4 linked regions of the Drosophila melanogaster genome follow. The protein of the gene in region 2 purifies or fractionates together with the protein of the main gene of each other region. This does not show direct contact. Each region holds a gene or a part of one and is shown on either strand. Other genes may lie near its edges. The genes, in order: car, Syx17, Vamp7 and Ykt6.

What was found.
Region 1: the proteins of Syx17 (region 2) and car purify together in Drosophila melanogaster (affinity purification with western blotting, with the first as the bait; one study listed by BioGRID). This does not show direct contact.
Region 3: the proteins of Syx17 (region 2) and Vamp7 purify together in Drosophila melanogaster (affinity purification with western blotting; 4 studies listed by BioGRID, with this or other methods). This does not show direct contact.
Region 4: the proteins of Syx17 (region 2) and Ykt6 purify together in Drosophila melanogaster (affinity purification with western blotting; one study listed by BioGRID). This does not show direct contact.

The regions. Positions count from the first base shown.
Region 1 is NC_004354.4:19,563,934-19,570,028, forward strand, and holds car (carnation), read left to right. Parts: upstream 1-2,085; 5' UTR 2,086-2,193; intron 2,194-2,249; exon of another isoform or gene 2,250-2,281; 5' UTR 2,282-2,408; coding exon 2,409-3,851; intron 3,852-3,973; coding exon 3,974-4,384; coding exon of another isoform or gene 4,385-4,450; 3' UTR 4,451-5,468; downstream 5,469-6,095. Other genes in the region: Grip84 (Gamma-tubulin ring protein 84), read right to left, coding at 1-185, 253-759, 840-1,374, 1,481-1,536. UniProt on the Drosophila melanogaster protein: Core component of the class C core vacuole/endosome tethering (CORVET) and the homotypic fusion and vacuole protein sorting (HOPS) tethering complexes involved in endo-lysosomal vesicle trafficking and lysosome biogenesis.
Region 2 is NT_037436.4:4,401,589-4,405,822, reverse strand, and holds Syx17 (syntaxin 17), read right to left. Parts: upstream 2,337-4,234; 5' UTR 1,997-2,336; coding exon 1,928-1,996; intron 1,873-1,927; coding exon 1,626-1,872; intron 1,565-1,625; coding exon 975-1,564; coding exon of another isoform or gene 840-974; 3' UTR 655-839; downstream 1-654. Other genes in the region: CG15019 (uncharacterized protein), read left to right, coding at 1-38, 208-462; slow (slowdown), read right to left, coding at 2,980-3,111, 3,180-3,598, 3,667-3,923.
Region 3 is NT_033778.4:9,840,304-9,844,340, reverse strand, and holds Vamp7 (Vesicle-associated membrane protein 7), read left to right. Parts: upstream 1-1,838; 5' UTR 1,839-2,040; intron 2,041-2,115; exon of another isoform or gene 2,116-2,173; 5' UTR 2,174-2,290; coding exon 2,291-2,494; intron 2,495-2,572; coding exon 2,573-2,801; intron 2,802-2,865; coding exon 2,866-2,933; intron 2,934-2,991; coding exon 2,992-3,147; 3' UTR 3,148-3,261; downstream 3,262-4,037. Other genes in the region: sting, read right to left, coding at 1-381, 438-537; Marc (mitochondrial amidoxime reducing component), read right to left, coding at 3,292-3,397, 3,471-3,757, 3,826-4,037.
Region 4 is NC_004354.4:7,918,422-7,922,534, reverse strand, and holds Ykt6 (YKT6 v-SNARE), read right to left. Parts: upstream 2,127-4,113; 5' UTR 1,860-2,126; coding exon 1,735-1,859; intron 1,646-1,734; coding exon 1,171-1,645; 3' UTR 569-1,170; downstream 1-568. Other genes in the region: hdm (hold'em), read left to right, coding at 2,404-3,319, 3,371-3,527, 3,631-4,018.

The sequences.
Region 1 (6,095 bases), on a different chromosome or scaffold from region 2:
AGCCGCTTGATCCGCTCGTGTAAATACGTCAACACTTCGGCATCCCGTGAATCGCTTAGCTGAATGATCACCAACGAGGACCAGACCTCATGCATCACCCACATCGTCGGCTGCAGGTAGTACAGTAGTTTCTGCAATGTTAATCTATTGTGGCGCAGCTCCTGTTCGGCTTGTACGATTATCAGCTAGGCTCGGTGGAAAAAAAGATTAGTTAGGGAAAAATTTTGCCACGACACGATTGCACATCCTTACATAGAAGTCGTGTGTAAGTTCCTGCAGTGCCTCATTCAATGAGTTCATCACCTGACCCAGGCCGTCGGTAGCCGCGATTATCTTCTGCACGCCCATGAAGTAGGAGGCCAATGGCAAGATTTCCCGCACCTGGTGTGTCAGCGAGCGATCGAGGTGCGTGTGTATGTCAAAGTCCGTGTCGTATTTGGCCAGGCCAACGGCAGAAATAATTGGCTTCTGAGGCACCAGGAGGCTTTCTCTTATGCCCGTGAGGCAGTGCAGCAGCTCGTCGAGCAGCATACTCTCCTGGCTGAGAAGCGGCATTGCCGCGATCTCTGCCCTCGGCACCTTGTCCCCGTCCACCTTGTAGTATTCCCACAGTAAATGGGTGCGGTACTCATCGGGCACATCAGTTAGCGTCACCAGGTCATTCGGCATTGACTTTGGGCTGTTGCCCGTTTTGTTGGTCACCGAGCGGTAGCCGCTCAAGGATTGATCGGAAACGGCATTAAGCACACGTTCCTTGATCTGTGTGGGTTGATCATTGATTATTTGAAGGGGCCAAGTAATTGGCAGCGAACAGCACACCATACTTAGTCTGCACTCACCACACTTAAGTCGTTGCGCTCATCCTTGCCCGCTCCACGGTTACGGTCCATTGGGCCGCGCCTGACAAAGACTACGGGTGTAGTGTCGGATTCAGTGGCCTTTTTGCAATTCACCGGCGTCGAGGTGGGAAAGTCCTGGGACTGGGTCAAGCTAAGCCTGGTGGAACCAGATACGTTTTGCGATGTGGTTAAGATTGTCGAGGTGCTTGCGATTGCCAATGTGGTGGGGACTGAACCGGCTGCGGAATTAACATCCGAAGTCTTGTTTCCGTGCGGCAAGCCCATCGCTGAAAGGCTAGTGGAACTGCTGCTCTCGGAGACTGGTTTGCATTCGCTGTATCGCTCGACGAACACCAGCAGTGCGTACATGGGATCCTTATTCTGCAGAATGTGCGAGATCTCCTTGGTCACCTCTGCGAAGTTGGGACGCTTCTCGCTGATGGACACCAGGACTTTGATCAGATCGCAGGCTGGCAGCCGCCGATCACTAGTGGCCCGAAACTCCCGAATGATGCTCTCCGGAGTTAGGGGCGATCTGTGGGATAAAAAATGACAGTAAACTATGGTGCCAATGGCGGGAAAGAGGCGGTGCAGGAGCAACGGCTAGATCGACTGGCCACCTGTGCACTCAATCCACTTACTGCGACTCGCTGATCAAATTGGCGAGCACACCGCGCAGCGCATGGGGTTTACTCATCACGGAGATGGCAATTTATAGTTCCGCGCTTCTCAATTTACAGTTATAACCGGCAATTGAGCTCTTTTTGAGTGCGCCGCTCTTCTCAATATTTTGTTGTTCTTTTCCGGGTTGCTTGAGTGCCGACTGCAGCGACAGGGTTGTCATCTGTCCTTGTAATGTTCTAGTTTTTTTTTCAATCCTTAGCCGTTTTAAAATCGCAGATGCTCATTTTATTTTACGCGCTTGCAGCAATTTCGGAATCAATTTAAACTGAAATGAGCAGCACAAGCAACTTGATGCAAATTGGCATTTGTTGGTATTTAATTGTGAGGATGTGGTGACACTGGTTGCTGGCGAAAAAGAGGGGTGCGTTTAGCATAGTTTACACTGGACTGGCCACTACTGTAACTTATTTGCGTTAAAGCGTGCAAAGCATTGAAAAAATACAAATTTTGTTAAATGAAAAAAGCTGTACATAAAAAATAAATAAGAAATACTTTCTACCCACAGATTAAATAATTGAAACTACTCCTCTATTATTTTATTCTATCTTAACTTTATATTCTTGTTTAATCAACAAAATTTATATCTGGCAACTGTTTTGATTTTAAATTGCAGGCAAGTGATAGTGTGAATGGCCCATAGAGCAGCGGACAGTGTGACCGTGCCATAAGGGTAAGTGTAAGACCGCACTGCTGAGCGCAGGCGCAGTCCAAATCAGCTGCTTTGCAGCGATTACAGTCGCGTCCCTGATCTTCTGCAGCCGAAATCCGTGGGCGTTGCACCAACACCACCAACGCACTGCACAAACCGCCCACCAAGGACACGGTAGCGACCGACCGGAAGCCGCAGAGCATACGAATCAACACTTCTGGCAAGAGGAAAGGAGCATGTTCCCCCACTTGAAGGGCCATGGTCAGCGGGTCAACCTGCAGTTGCTGCAGGAGGCCGCCTGCCGCGAGCTGCTGCAGCAGCTGGACCGCATTGAGGGTTCCAAGGTTATTGTGCTGGACGAGACCATGATCGGACCGCTGGACTTGGTTACCCGGCCAAAGTTATTCGCTGATCGAGGCATCCGTCTGCTGGCCCTCAAGCCGGAGCTTCATTTGCCGCGCGAGGTGGCCAATGTGGTGTACGTGATGCGCCCACGCGTGGCGCTGATGGAGCAGCTGGCCGCCCACGTGAAGGCAGGCGGAAGAGCGGCCGCTGGACGGCAGTACCACATCCTGTTCGCCCCGAGGCGGTCATGTCTGTGCGTCAGCCAACTGGAGGTCAGCGGCGTGTTGGGCAGCTTCGGAAACATCGAGGAACTGGCCTGGAACTATCTGCCGCTGGATGTCGACCTGGTATCGATGGAGATGCCCAATGCCTTCCGCGATGTGAGTGTGGACGGTGACACTAGCTCGCTGTATCAGGCGGCAGTGGGCCTAGTGCAGCTGCAGCGTCTATACGGTCGCATTCCGAAGATCTACGGAAAAGGAGAGTTTGCGCACAGGGTATGGGAGCACGCCAAGCAGCTGGGCCGGGATGAGCGGACTCTGTACAACGGCGACAAGGGTGTCGTCGATCAGTTGATCCTTCTGGACAGAAGCATCGATCTGCTCAGCCCGCTGGCCACACAACTCACCTACGAGGGGCTTATCGATGAGTTCTACGGCATCCGGCAGAACAAACTGACGCTGCCCGCCGAGAACTTTCCCTCTGACGGAGCCCTTCCCGGAGGCGGAGGCAGTGGCCCACGAGTCGAGGAATCGCAGTCGCTGCTGGGTGACACCGAGAAAAAGACCATCCTACTGCACTCCGGCGAGCAGTTGTACGCGGAGCTGCGGAACAAGCACTTCAACGAGGTCACCAAGCTGCTCGCTCGCAAGGCACGGGAAATTCACGTCCAGATGCACGCCACCTCCCAGGACAAGAGCGTGCAGGAGATCAAGAGCTTCGTCGAGAACCTCCTGCCGCAGCTAATGGCCCAGAAGAAGGCCACCTCTGAGCATACGGCCATCGCTGGCCTCCTGCACGAACAGGTGAACGCGGTGCGCTTCGCTGACGACCTGGCTGCCGAGCAGGAGTTCATGGTCTGCGCAGATATCGACAAGCCAAGCGCCTACATCGAGGACCTGATTGCCTGCAGGGTGGAGTTGAATCGCGTCCTGCGGCTCATCTGCATGCAGTGCCACGCCGCCTCCGGATTCAAGGAGAAGCTGCTTAACCACTACAAGCGCGAACTGGTCCATGTGTACGGTCTGGAAGTGCTGCTCACCATCAGCAACCTGGAGAAATCGGGCCTGCTCCATCTGCAAACAGAGTCGCGGGCTTACAGCGTTCTGCGAAAGGTGAGCGCCAATTCAGTAATCCAACCATATTTAGTTATAAGTTATATAGTTATTTGTGAGTGAATATATGAGGGAATGCTATTTAGGATGTTGCTACATCAAAACATCATTTTCTCTTGCAGACGCTGCACCTCACGGTGGACGACAACGTTGAAATTGAGCCAAAGGACATCAGCTACGTGCACAGCTTCTACGCTCCGCTGACCGCGCGCATTGTGGAGCATTCGCTCAAACCGCTGGGTTGGCAGACGCTTAAGAGCCAAATCAATAACCTGCCCGGACCGACGTTCGAGGACTTTCAGGCGCAGTTGGTGGGCATCGGTGGACGGCATACGGTCACCACAGTCAGCGAGGGATCCCTACTGAATGTGCCGCGAGTGGTGCTCGTCTGCTTTGTGGGCGGATGCACGTTCGCTGAAATAGCTGCGCTGCGTTTCCTCGCCGCCCAGGAGGACAACAACGTGGAGTTCCTGATTGCCACCACGAAGGTGGTCAACAAACACTCCTTCCTGGACAGCCTGATGAGCTCGTGAGGCCGGCGGCTAAGCCGACTGGAAGCCTATCGCCTGTCCAACGCCCACGGCCTGGCACGTGGATGAAACGCGTCCGTTCCGCTGAAGCCGAGATCAAAGAGAAAGGGCAAGCGGCGCAGCGCGGCAATCGGGACTGCAGATGAGAATCCAGGATGCTAGGGGCGTTGTGAATGACACGATTACTAAGGACTCGCCGGCAAGCGGAAACCATAAAATATTTATTTTTCGAACGCGGCATTTATTATTTATTCTTGTAACCTAAAGAGCATGTATGTATATAGATAGATTCAAGCATAATATGTATATTTATGTATACCGAAGTATGTAGTCTTAAGCAAAAAAAAAAAACAAAAAAATTGCAAATCCCATTTATTCAAGCTTGGCAATTGTAGTTTTAAGTGCAAATAATTCCAACTTTCAATCATACATACGTGTGCAAGACAAATATTTTCAAAATAAAAAGTTTAGTCAATGTTATGCCGCCACATACATATATATATTCCCCAGCGCCATATACAGATTACAAACCGCATATTTAACCGCATATCGATGTTTTATGAGCCCGTAAATTGCCCGTATTGCTTGTAAATGGTTATGAATTTCTAAATGATGTGAATTTGATGTAACTTTGTGTATGTTCGTTCAACAGCAGCAAGTGCATTGAATGTTCCTCAAGGCTTATCCTTAAGCATGTATATCATATCCGGAAAGTATTGGATCCAATGGATGGCGGAAATCCAAATATGTTGAAATGTAATTAGTGATAGAGCGCATATGGGTATGTAGCTGTGGCAATCAATCAACAGCTGCAAAAGATATTTAAGATCTTTATCTTTATCTCTGCTGATAAGCCAAAGTCAACAAAATGTTCTATGTATGTATGTTCTCGCATTTCGAGTGGAACGAACTGTGTACGACTTTCGTTTTATGTGATCAATAATATTCTCATCCTTATGTGCAAGACCTAAATGTATCTCAAAGTGAACATTTCAATGGTGTTTAAATTAATCCGAGTTCCGAGGTTATTCGACTCGATGTAAATGTAATTAAATGAAATTTCAAATAAACGGAAAGCATTCCAAACAAAAGTGTTCATTATCTTTCTTTCTCTCTACTCCGTAGATACTCAAAACGTAGAGCGTCGAGTGTTAGATACTCGACTAAAACATACCCGTTAATTTGCCGAATGATGATCTGCCTGTTGGGTAATCCCTAACGAATCTAGCATACCCTTTAACTCGAGCAACCATATATGCATTGCCATCCTTTAGCAGTTTGTCGTCCCAATCCCAACTTCTTCGCTTGAACAGCACTTTCCGAAATCGATGTATAATGGCTAGACATCCCGACCGCAATCCGCTGTCCATGTCCCAAGTAAACTAAACACGGAACTGCGGCCATGTGTATTTTGAAATATGTTTTATTTTATTGACATTGACGTGTGCATCAATTTAATTGTTATTCGTTTTCCATCTTCAGTTACCGTAATTGCAAAAATACAATTTATATTCGTATAATAATTATTACAATAATACAAAAAAAAAATATATATATGAACAATTTTATAAACATAAAAATATTACATATACTGTGCTTCCCCGTGCTTCTTTCTAGCTATCTTCTATCTCTCTCATTTCCCGTTTTCGTGTCCACGTCCACTTCCACCTCCATCCATTTCGCTACCATATGGAGCTAGCCAAGGTGGCTTAGT
Region 2 (4,234 bases):
ATGTGGTCGAAATTAAGACCGCCAAGGAGCTCAAAAGGGTTAGTTATGTGATATACCCACCTACAAATATACCAATTTACCTAATGTATTATATGTATTGTATGCATGTAATATGCGAAAAACCGGCTTAGTTTATCGCGATACTACCTTCATTCTTGTTACGTATTTTATATCCTTATTAAAGAAGAAATTGTATTCCTAAAACAGGAGGCCAAATCCAAGGAGGAGCAGGAATTGATCTACGAGCACCAGGAGAGTCTGGAGAAGGGCGAGAAAGTCAAGGTGACCAACGAGAACACGGGCGTGGAGCACATTTTCAACAGCAAGACCCTCAAAGATCAGTACGGCAATTATCCTGCGTGGTTCAAGAAGAAGAAGACCGCCAAGCGTCTAAGAAAGAAGCAGCACTCGCAGAAGAAGAACTTCAAACAGGCCTGGACCACGGTTAATGTTCCCCTATAAATCCGGGGCTGGGTTACCCATCTGGTATCTTATCGTAGTTTATAAGTCCTCGCTTAGTTTAGGAGATTTTGTAGGCTTTTTCTACAAAGATGTTATAGCTAAGAGTATATATTGCATATTAAAGCCCAAACAAGTTCTGAAAAACCCAGATATAGTCTGAACTTCTCAACATGGCAATCAAATAGTATCATTACTTTTTTAAAGCTACGAGTTATTATTGCATATTAAAGCCTTAAAATCTACACACATTTGCGGTGTCATGTGAACAACAAGTATCCAACGCTTAAACTAAAGTGCAGTTACATTATGCTCATTAGCTCTATTGCACGTGGAAAATCACAAAATGGGGATATTGAACTAAAATCGTGGTCAAATTTCTACTGAACGGAACAATAGCTGCGCACGCTGCAAATCACTCCGTTGGTGGCTGCCTCCAAACGTCGTGTGTTCGCCGACCATATGTGCGTGGTGGCCAGAGCCGTGGATGCGGATCGGGCACTTCCTCCTGCGGGTCATTCTGGCTTCTCTTTTAGCTCCAGTCTCTCAGTTGACTCGCTATCCGGTTCCACCTGCTCCTCCTCGATGTTGCCATGCATTACATTGGGATTGGCCTTTAGCACAGAGCCACCGGTGAAGCCGAGGATGCCACATCCTACTGCCGCCAATCCTCCAGCTTTCATGCCCGCCACCAGACCAATGGGTCCTCCCACACAGGTGCCCAGAAGAGCTCCGACTACGGGGTACATGGCCTTCTTGTAGGTGAGCGCCCGGCGCAGATTCAATTCGCCCTGCTGGACATTCTCCAGAGCTTCCTCCGCATTGTCTGCTATCTTTTCCACCGCCACTGATTGCTCTGCAGTCAGTTGACGCATTCCCTGGAACATCCCGTGCAGATCGTAGATCTCCTGTTGCAGGTTCTCCATCTGATCCAGGCAGGCTTGCCTCTGCGCCAATTGGTGTTCCTCCAGCTGGAAATTGAGTTGCAGCTGGGGCATGTGGCGGTGTGCGGGTAGACTGTTCATATCCACCTCCTGTGGCTGATTGTCCAGATCGTCGTCGTACTGAGAACTCAAAGTGGAGGTGGGTGATTTGAGTTGGAGCTCTAAAAATACAGTAGGTGTGTTGGTAAAGCCGAAAGAATTTAGATGGCATTTCAAACTTACCCGCAAATTCCTTCATGCCAGCGAAGGCAGTATCCCTGCCAGGTTTCATTAGGTCGTCGAAACGTTCCAGATCCTCCTCCCGTACTTTTTCTCGCAGTGCATCCATTTCCAGAAGTAGATTCTTGATCTGCTTAATGACCCTCATAGCATTGAGTTCCTCCTTTTTGATTTTTTGCCAGTCGCCGAGCGCCAGGCTTTTTTCTATATTGCTGCGATGGTTTTTCAGTAGGCTCAGATGGTGGGGCACCTATGAGTGTTAAGGAATTAGTTCCGCTCTTCAGAAGATATAGTAAATAACCTACCGCCACATCCTGAAACCTTTGGATGGAGACCTCCGCCTGTTTAAGTGGCAGTTTCTCATCGCGCGTCATCGTGAACTGAATACTTTGAACTCGCAGCGCTTTGATTTTTAATCAGTTTTAATTGTGGTAAAAGTGAAATCTGGGGGATCAGTTTCTGTAACACCCCCCGCCCCTTTTTAACGATGGACCTTGCTTAACAGATTTCCCTGGTTTTTCTGCGCAGTTTTTGCTTTGTTTTGCCAGTGACGTCACTGCTTGCTTTTCGGGATGTTTCCAGTGAGTAGTGCTTTGTTGTTGTGAATGAAACTACGGTGGCATGGTTCCAATCATGCTGGTCTTGTCCCCTATATTTATACTGATAATAATTCTATTGTGCAGTCCAATTATTTGTTTGTTATTGGTGATAGAGATGGCAATCAGTTCGATACTAGCGAATATTGCGCAGCCTTGCCCACACTCGATATTATTCTTACAGTTATCGATTGTCTCCGCTGGTGGGAATCCCCGCTAAAAGGTCAGCTTACAGCCGAGGTCATAAAAATAGTTGTTGACTCACCATTATTGCATTTAAAAGGAAAAATAACCAAATTTTATGTTGCGCGTTAAGTTGTAGCCAATATATAAAAGTAAATATTGCAGCACTTTACCTTTTTTTTCATGATAACTTCCAGATAAATAGATTTCCTTTGTTAAATATCCCATGAAAGACCCATTAAAATCAGAAAATGCATTTATTCGTGCAGTGATTTCTCATATACATTAAAATTATATACAGATACATGCAGAAACTAATCACTGCACCACCCACATGAAGAGCGGTGCAGAGTGCGGTGGTGCGCTTACGTCTAAAACTTCACATCTCGATACATTTATGACACACGTTCTCGCTTAAGTACTAATAGCCCGATCCGTGGGCTAATTCTACAGACTACAGAGGCACTCGACTCGCATTCGGGAATGGCTTACAAGCAGGAGCATCTAGCTACACATGAACGGAGTGGTCAATTAAGTTAACTAACATTTAATAATAGCGTGGGGAAATGCAGTTCTGTTTAGGGGCAATTGGCATTGGGGCCATTCCGGCACTTCAGCAGCAGGTTCAGCATACCCTCCAGCTTGTTCGTCCGGGACTCTGTCTTGTAGAGATTCGTCTGCAGTCGACTGACATCCTGAGCCTGCTTTTCCTGAGGGCATACGAAGTAATCGTTAAAGTATGAATATTCAAATATAGAAGTTCAACTCTAATCCTTACCAGCGTGCTTAGCCGACTCTTGAGTGTGTCCACCACACTGTAGGTGGCCTGCAGCGACTTTTGCAGCTCGTTCGTGTGCACTCGCTCATTGGCCAAGGACTTTTCGATCTTCTGGAGTCGCGTGGCCACCTCCGCGTCCGTATCATCGATATCGTTCTCCAGATCCCGAGCCTCGAACGCATCGTCCGCATTCGTGGACACCTTCTTGCAGCTCTGCTGATCCGACTGGAGAACGAATCCCTGACGGCAGCGGCAGAAGTAAGATCCATGCGTATTGATGCACTGTTGATCGCATGGCTTCTCCGTCTGGCACTCGTCCACATCCTGCTCGCAGAAACGTCCTGTGAAACCAGTTGGACAGCTGCAGGTGCTAGGAGCCGTACAATTGCCACCGTTTTGGCAGCGCGCGGAGCAAATAGCTGTAAATAATTAGAAGATAAAAATATTCCAAATTCATTGCAATCTATGTATTTTGTTTAAGACTCACGTTTCATGCACGAATCCGACCTTGGGTTTTCCCGGCTCCATCCCGTGCAGCAGTCGTAGGTCATCTGCTGGGCGGTCTTGTGATCGATGACGTCCCTGTAGGCCTGCTCGTGGACCACCTGCACCCTGGTGCACTTCTGGCCACTAAAGGTGGGCGGCTGGCAGGGCGTGGCCACGTGCTTCCAGGTGGGACGACTGTAGACCTCCGTTCGCTTCACGGGCATCGTAACCGTTCGCTGTTGCATGCAAATGTGCCGCCTGCAATGAGTAGCAAGGAAAACAAACCAGAGCGAGGTGTGAATCGAATAGGATTGGAATGGATTCGAGCGGTGTGGCTGACCCAAATCAGCGGCTCATCATCTGCAAAAGTGAAACTGACTTTTCCAGACGACTTCGCCCAATTACAGTCATAACGACACAGAGCGGCCAACAGGTTGTTTTTAGGAGTGGGATCTGGGCAATTGTCACATGTGTCTGGAAGTGCCAGCGGATTGGATTGGATTGGATTCGATTGGACTGGACTACGATATTAGCGTGTTCGCGTATCTGCGATGACAAACACGACACGC
Region 3 (4,037 bases), on a different chromosome or scaffold from region 2:
CGTGAAAGTAGTTGGAGGCCATTCCGGCCGCATAGTCTAGTCCATGGGAGTCACGTATCCAGTGCGAGTAGCTCAGGGTGCTTTGGTCCATATCGGTAAAGCTCCATATCCAGTAGAGCGGCATTTGGAACAGAAACAGCGTCGTGGGCATTACGTTCCTGTAATTCCCGGTAACCGAAATTCGAAAAAAAGCTACGAGAAGGAATCCCACAATCAGGTATATCGATCTGTTGTTATACGTGCACGAGCGCCGCAGGATTATCCACAGCCGATCCTCGGGCAAATAGTACCGCCCATTGCTCCCATATTCGACGACACAGCGGTACAAGCGAAGGAGCAGATCAGCCAAGAACACGGTGGCTACAATGCGAATAGAGGTGTCTGCAACGAATCACGACCGTAAAGATAATTTATGGCGTCCATCGGTCATCACTCACCAATATAATCTCCTATCATCTTTCGAAAATAAAAATATTTTCTGCCTTTTTCCGCGCGAACCGCGTTCCCCGCTTCGACAACGTTGCTAGCGATTGCCATTTCGTCTGCATACATATGTACGTCTCAAGGGTTGCCAGATCGATTTGGAGATCTCGCGAAAACTTCGCTGGAATTTCAAATGCCGTTAAATTATATATAAATTTGTTTATTGGGCTTGCATAGGTATACATAACTGAATTTGGGCTCCTAAATATTAATTACATTGCGTGCACATACAAATGCACATATTTATGTATGACGGAAGCAATGAAGGAACTACATTGTTATATCTTTTTATTATTATTTACTTTTGTGTTTGTTTATCAGGTATCAGATAAGATTTTATCAATATAGCCTCAAAGATTCGTTAATCAATTTGTATTCGAAATAAAACTTTAGGTAACAATGTCCGGTTCCGACTATCAGATACATATACAGACATGAAATCTGCTGACTGTAAAGCTCTCCGCCCTCTGGAACAAATATTCGTGAGAGCCGGAGCCAGCTCTAGACTCCTCCCAAAAACGCATATTGTTATTCTAGTGTCTTTGGTAAGAGGGTATACTAGATTCGTTGAAAAGTAAGTAACAGGTAGAAGGAAGCGTTCCCGGCCATGTAAAGTATATATATTCTTAATCAAGATCAAAATAATAAAAAATAACAAAGATAATTAAACATTAACAATGGTTAACCAATTGGTGGTTAATTAACCATCAACAATGGTTAACCATTACGCTCTTACTCTGCAACTTAAATACTGATAGCTACACCCTAAACGAATTATAAGATTTGATAAATGATCTTATTTAAGCATGCTTATTGTGTTCTAATATTAAATTCTATAGAAACCTTATCCTGTAAAAGGCTCAAAAAAGTGCAATCGTGCCATATTTGTGGCCAGAATAAATGAGAATTCTAAGTCTTTTAAAATAAGTAATTTTAAATCGAATATTTCGGCAGCATATGCGCATATTGAAACTACGTATATTGTATCTTGCGTGTGTACATAGTTTAAGTTATTACCTGCGGTTTTTTCTGTCAAAACGAATGGATCCAGGCTCAAAGATCTCAGGAGCAAAAGCTTGGGAACGCTATTAATTTAAATTTACTTTAATGGAAAATTCTTTGTCCGGGGAGAAGAATCTCAACTGGATGAACTGATGCTCTCGTCAATACTGAAACGCTATCGGTGGGATGCCCCTATTTAAGTTGCGGAGATCATTTAATTTAATAAGCAAATGCAAATAATCATAAGACCGTATAACATAATTTGTAAAACACGTTATGCAGTGTGACCGTGCGATAAAGCCAGACTTATCGGCTCCATTAAATATCGATGCGTCGATGTACCGTCCTTCCACCTCTAATTTTATAACTGCATCGAAGCGTCAGCAATTGTTGTTATTTGTAATGCAAAAATCGAGCTAATTCCACGGTATTGTGATGTTTTTATTGTGTTCGGCAAAAGCAATTGAAAATCGATAATAACTTAAGCCGCTTACCACAAAATGTAAATCTGCAGTTGCGCTATCAACTCGAGGCGGATCTAATTGGATAAACAAAGCAAGTACTTTGATATAACAATTTGCATATTACACATATATACGTATGTTACTCATAAACAGAGTTATTGTTCAGATTGATAGGCTCGCAATTGGATAGTAGTAGTTTCTAAATCGATATGTACATTTCTCAGAATCCGAGAGCACGTCATCATTGACGGATCGTCGGCTCATTCCCCGATAAGCAAAACAAAGCAGTAGCCTGAGGAGCTGAACAACCGCGCCCTTAGCAAAGGAGAATCTGTGGCACCATGCCGATACTATATAGTGTGATATCGCGGGGCACCACAGTGCTGGCGAAGTTTGCGGAGTGCGTCGGCAACTTTGCCGAAGTGACGGAGCACATAATCGGACGGATCGGGGTGCATAACCACAAGATGACCTACACACACGGAGACTACCTGATCCACTACACCTGCGAGAACAAACTGGTCTACATGTGCATCACCGACAACGTGGGTGAACGAACCACTGGCCCAATTAGCCACCTCAGTTGCTTATTGCCCAATCGATAACGTATCGTTTCTTTGTAGGAGTTCGAACGGTCGCGGGCCTTCCTCTTCTTGGCGGATATCAAGCAGAAGTTTATCCAGACTTACGGCCTACAGGTGGCCACCGCCATCGCCTACTCCATGAACACCGAGTTCTCCAAGATCCTGGCCCAGCAGATGGTCTATTTCAGTCAGTCCCGGGAGGTGGACACCATTTCGCGAGTACATGGTCAGATTGACGAGCTTAAAGACATTATGGTTAAGAATATTGGTATGAAGGAAGGAAAATCCGTATGTTCTTTTTGTTTACTATTCCCTTTTCATCCCATTTGCAGACAGCTTGCGGGATCGCGGCGAGAAACTAGAGCTGCTCGTCAACAAGACCGAAAACTTGAGCAATAATGTAAGGTGATGCCAAGCAGAGACTTTTAAATGTGTTTTTCATTTGATCTCTCTTACAGTCCGTTGCATTCCGTAAGGCCTCCCGAAATTTGGCTCGTCAAATGTTTTGGAAGAACATCCGCGTCTACGTGGTGGTGGGTCTGGTGATAACCTTCATCGTTTACGTGATTGTGAGCATGGCCTGTGGTGGCCTCGCTTGGCAGTCCTGTGTTTAGGACAAGCTTTAAAGTTGTTTATATTGTTATAGGCTCATAACACATGTATATTTGCATATAAAACTCTACAGTACTCTCATCTATGTTCTATGTAATAAACTTCAATGTATACCGGATAAAGTGTTAGAAGAGATAATGGAATATTCACTTGTCCTCCACATACACGACGTCGTTGGCCTTCACCTTTCCCGGCAGCCGAAGTCCCATATGAACGCCCAGAGCCGGCGAACTGTAGTTGAACAAGCGATAGCTGTGGATTCCAGATATGAGGGTCGGGTTTTGTAAGTCGTACTTCTCAGATATTTCCATGGGTAGTGACTCACCTTCTGAGCGTTTTGAGAGGCTCTCCTTCGGAACTCCTCTCTGCGGTCTTCGCATTAATGTTGGTAAAAATACAGCGAGTGCATGGCGCCACCGTACGGAAAACAGCATCTTCGCCTATACGCACCCACTGCCAATTGTCCTCGGCATAGGGCTCATCAACATCCATTTTCAGTTCGAAGTTACCTCGGAACTGCAGTGCATCCACCGGATTCTTTAACCGAGTATTAAGATCGGCGACCGACGAAAGGTTCATCAGCATAAAGCTGGTGGCATCGTTAAAAGTGCCCTATGGAAAGAATTCAAATCAAGGGTGATCTGGGTCCTAACACTTCGAATTGCGCATCAGGAACATACCGAGTCCTCCTGTCTAATGAATGGCATGGACTTTAGGCGGGGATTGGTGCATCTCACTGGTTTCGGATAGGGATAGTGAACTAGCTTGAGGCCGCTCTCCTTCTTCAGGATGGCCTGGGAGAACCACGTGTTGATCCGATCTCCGCAGGGCATCACGTCTATGGAAACGCCCCAAACGGAAGTTTTCACATCCTTGCCAGGACCGTCCAGCT
Region 4 (4,113 bases), on a different chromosome or scaffold from region 2:
ATAAAAAACGAGAAGCCAAGCAAACGCGTTTGAATCAATGTTTGCAGCTTAAGCTAAGTTAGCACACACAATATTATATTAATTATAACGAAACGATATAGGTATGCAGTATAATGCATATATTTATAATGCACCGCCTCCCCTTTCTCCCCGCGCAAACACACAAGAAAATTGCGATGGAGAGGGGGCGAAAACTAAATTGTAATCGATTTACCTATCTTATACTAGGCTATACAAACCGAACCCATTAAACATAACCAAAATCCAAAAGGTTAAACACGAAAACGTAAGGAAAACGCATAAATATGAAAAATGTAACGGAAATCTTTACAAGAAGCGAAATAGGTGTCTTCTATATAATAAATAAACGCCAACAGAAAATCACTTTTAAATTGATTTTGCTTTTTTGGGAGGAATGGAATTTGCACTTAAGATAAAGTGGTACGTATTACATAAATAAAAATAAGTTCATGTGCTATGTACAGAGCTCGTACAAATAGTTTGTACATTTTGCCAAAATTGACAAAGATAAGGTTTGTATATGTGAGCAATGAAAACGAGCTTGGTTCACATTTCCCATAATACTTCTTTATTGAAACGCCCACACATTCCGACCGCCAGTTGCCCGGATCGGAAGTGCGACTGCATGTGTATACATAGGTGCAGCCTTCCGATCCGATTGGTATACATAGATCCGCCGTGGAGGCGATAAGAAGGCCCACAACATCAATAGCTAGCAAAGGGCCAATTTTGGACCGCCGTGCCAACACATAAGTGAAGAGAAGATTATGTTAAGCACATGGGTTTAGATCGTAATCTGTATTGGTAGTAATTAACATTTAGATATCCAAAGCGTAGACATATACAGACAGGTAGACATTGGGTTAGCGGACTATCGTAACTGGCAACTGGCCATCCTATTCATACAGTATATAATATAATATATATATATAGTATATAAAATTAACTAATTCATTTATAAAAAGCAATCATCAAAGCCCAAGTCGCACCGCTCCCTTGGAGTTTGTTTGGTTGTAGTTTGTTGGTGTTATCGTGTTATCCATTATCCTTTGTGTTGTCTTTGATTTGCATTTTCTGGTGTTTCCTGTTGTGGTTGTTGCTTGAGAGGATTAGCGTGTGGTGGGGGGTGATGAGAGGTGCAGCTGTCGTCTAGGTGAAGCTGCAGCAGGAGTTAGTCTTTTTCGCCGTCTTGTAGAACGCCTTGCTCTGCAGCGACAATTTCTCCGACTTGCTGACCATGTCGTCCAGCTTCTCGCCCCGCTCCAGCACCGCCTCGATGGTATTCTTCAGTATGATCTTCGTTTCGTCCAGGTCGTTTTGCATTTTCGTCAGCGGATCTGCTTCGACGGGATTTTGATAGCGTGCTAGAAACGCTGGCAGCAAGTCAAATGAGATAGTGGCCTCCGTGCCATTGGGCCACTGATCGGCCGACACCTTGGCCGTAAAGTCATCCAGAATCTTTGTGATAAGCGTGTGCGCCACGCGATGCGGATACTCATGATCGGCGATCAGTACACCGGCCAGATTGTCCGCCCGCACATAGACATGACACATGTAGGCATCCTGTTTCACCGATTGCCGCAGGGCCGGCTGTGTGCGCTCCACAATCGTCTTCGAAGCGAAACTGCAAGAGGAGGAGTTGTTTAGGGGGGTGTTCGTCATTGATGACTCTTTGAGCCTGCGCCGTTCTTTGGCATCCACATGCATACTCACGTCATGAACTCGTTGACGGTGCCACGTTGGAAAAAGGAGAAGGACTGCAGGTCCGAGGCGGTCTTCAGGAGACGCGCCTCGCTGGCGCCCTTGTGAAAGATGCTCAACGCGAATAGTTTGACCATTTTGAGTGGCTGTGGGCTGCCAAGACTGGGTCTGCGGGTCGCGGGTTGCTCGACTGTTGCTCCTCCAATTAAATGCTTCTGGGGCACTGAGCTGAACGGTTGTCCTGGCTAATCCTACTATGCTCCGGCGGATGGGTTTCACTTTCAGCGCACTGGCATTCGTGGAAAAGTGCGACAAGTGAGTTTGTTTAACGCAGTAAATCTGTGCCGTTCCCCTCTGTGTGTGCGTGTGTGTGTGCGCGGGTGCACATATGCGTAGTGTGTGTCAGCTTATTAGGGATGGTACGTCTGGTATTCGGATGCCATCCGATTATTATCGATTCCAATGGTTACAATTAATAAGCGCAACTTTCTGTAAATGTTTTAATTGTGGTTTTTATCAAACTAAGTTGTTAGCAATACTTTCTGTTACTAACTGAATCTACGGCCATTTGTGGTGTACCATCACTACAAACATCGATAACTACTAATCGGCGGTAACGGCAATGTAACGGTTTTCTTAAGCACTGCAATCTGACTGGTCGCGATTTCTTAAATAATTTCAATGGCAAGGCGTATTAAGTTCCAGCGGTTGGCAGAGATGCGTCCCACAATGACCCGTTTCTCCACCGTTGCCCTGATTGTCTCCAAATCCTCGCCGAACATCTTCTATGACAAGATGAGTGGCACCGAACGAGGGGTTCTCAGCTTGACCATCCGAGATTCCCCCAATCACCTGACCAATTGCAAGTGCTGGGGCCAGCGGGACTGTGTGGATGAGTACGCGGCCATGCTGCAGATCGGCCATGTGGTAGACATTGTGGGCGCTAAAGTGATGTCCATACCGTTTGCTGCTCCGGGAGAACAGCGTTATCAGCCCCAAGCGACGGTCTCCTGCGCCCTGGTGGTCAACGAGGGATCCGGCTATGTGGTGCGCCACGACAATGACGACTTTGGCCAAATAACAATTCTCCAGCAGTTACTCCATCAGCCCATAAGGCCACTTGGTGCGGTCCTTAAGCTGGCGGATGTGCGTTCCGGCTTGGGATTTCCCGATAAGATAATCACCACCAATGTGAATCTACTGGTAGTAGTGGCTGCAGTGCGTCCAGTGCGTCAGATAAAGCGAAAGCTGCAGGGGCCACTAAGTGAGGTCCAGGAGCTGCTACAGTGCTTGGAAGTAATCGTGATCGATGCCAGCTATCCGGAAGGTATGCTGCTCTCCGTTTGGCAACCCGACTGGATACAACGTGCCCAGCAATGGCAGCCACGTCGCACTGTCCTTCATTTGATCGACGTGCGTGTTTCCTACTCGAACTTTCATCGTTCTCTCGTCCTCTCCCATTCCAATTGCACACTTATTTGCGAAAATCCTCAGGCGGCTGGAGATGATTGCCGTCTCTTGCTAGCTTTCGCCGCCACTGTGCCTCTAACAACTTTTAGTGGCTGTGACCAGGCAGAGCTGGACAACATGCCTGCAGGTGAGTAAAGGATAATTAATGCAGTATTATTATTTACTATAACTCTTTCAGTTGCCAGCATTCAGGCGCAGATGACGGTAAGACAGATATATTCACGCGCCGAGGGCGAACTGCAGGATCCGTCCATACATCAGTTTACTGCAGTGCTGTATGGGATGGTCACCAAGTTCGACTTGGATGGATTGACCTCCCACGTCAACAGGAAGTGGTGGGTGTTGTACATCCCCATCCCTTCCTAACCGCCGAAACGCTTCCCACTATCCGTTACATAGTTTACAAGACATATTCTTAAAAGCCCTTTTATTTTACAGCATTGCCTGTCAACAACATATACCACGGAACCTGCAAGATTGCGCCTCGGACGCCTGCCAGCAGTATTTTTCATTGGACAATGATGAACCACGATCCATTAGCTACTTCAATATCAACATTCATTTGTCCGACCAGACCGGCACTCTCGTCGAAGCCCGGTTAGCTGGACATCCGGCAGAACGTATCCTGGGACTTCGGGCTGAAGACTTCGAGCGACTGGCGGAGCGCGAGAAAAGCGAGCTAAAGTGGCGCTTTCTGCTGAAATACTTCGAGGTAAGATTGATGATCAAAAAGCCGGTGGGAGTGCGCAATCATCTCGTCATTGTGGTCGTCGACATGCAAGCCATTCCCCTGGAAAAGCTTGTCGCAAATATGGTCGTTTTCTAAGTGTATGTGGGGTGGTCCCATCAAAATACTGGTGAACCATCTACATAAATAGCGATCTTTATTTCGCATTTTCACATAAAAGTGTACAACTGCAA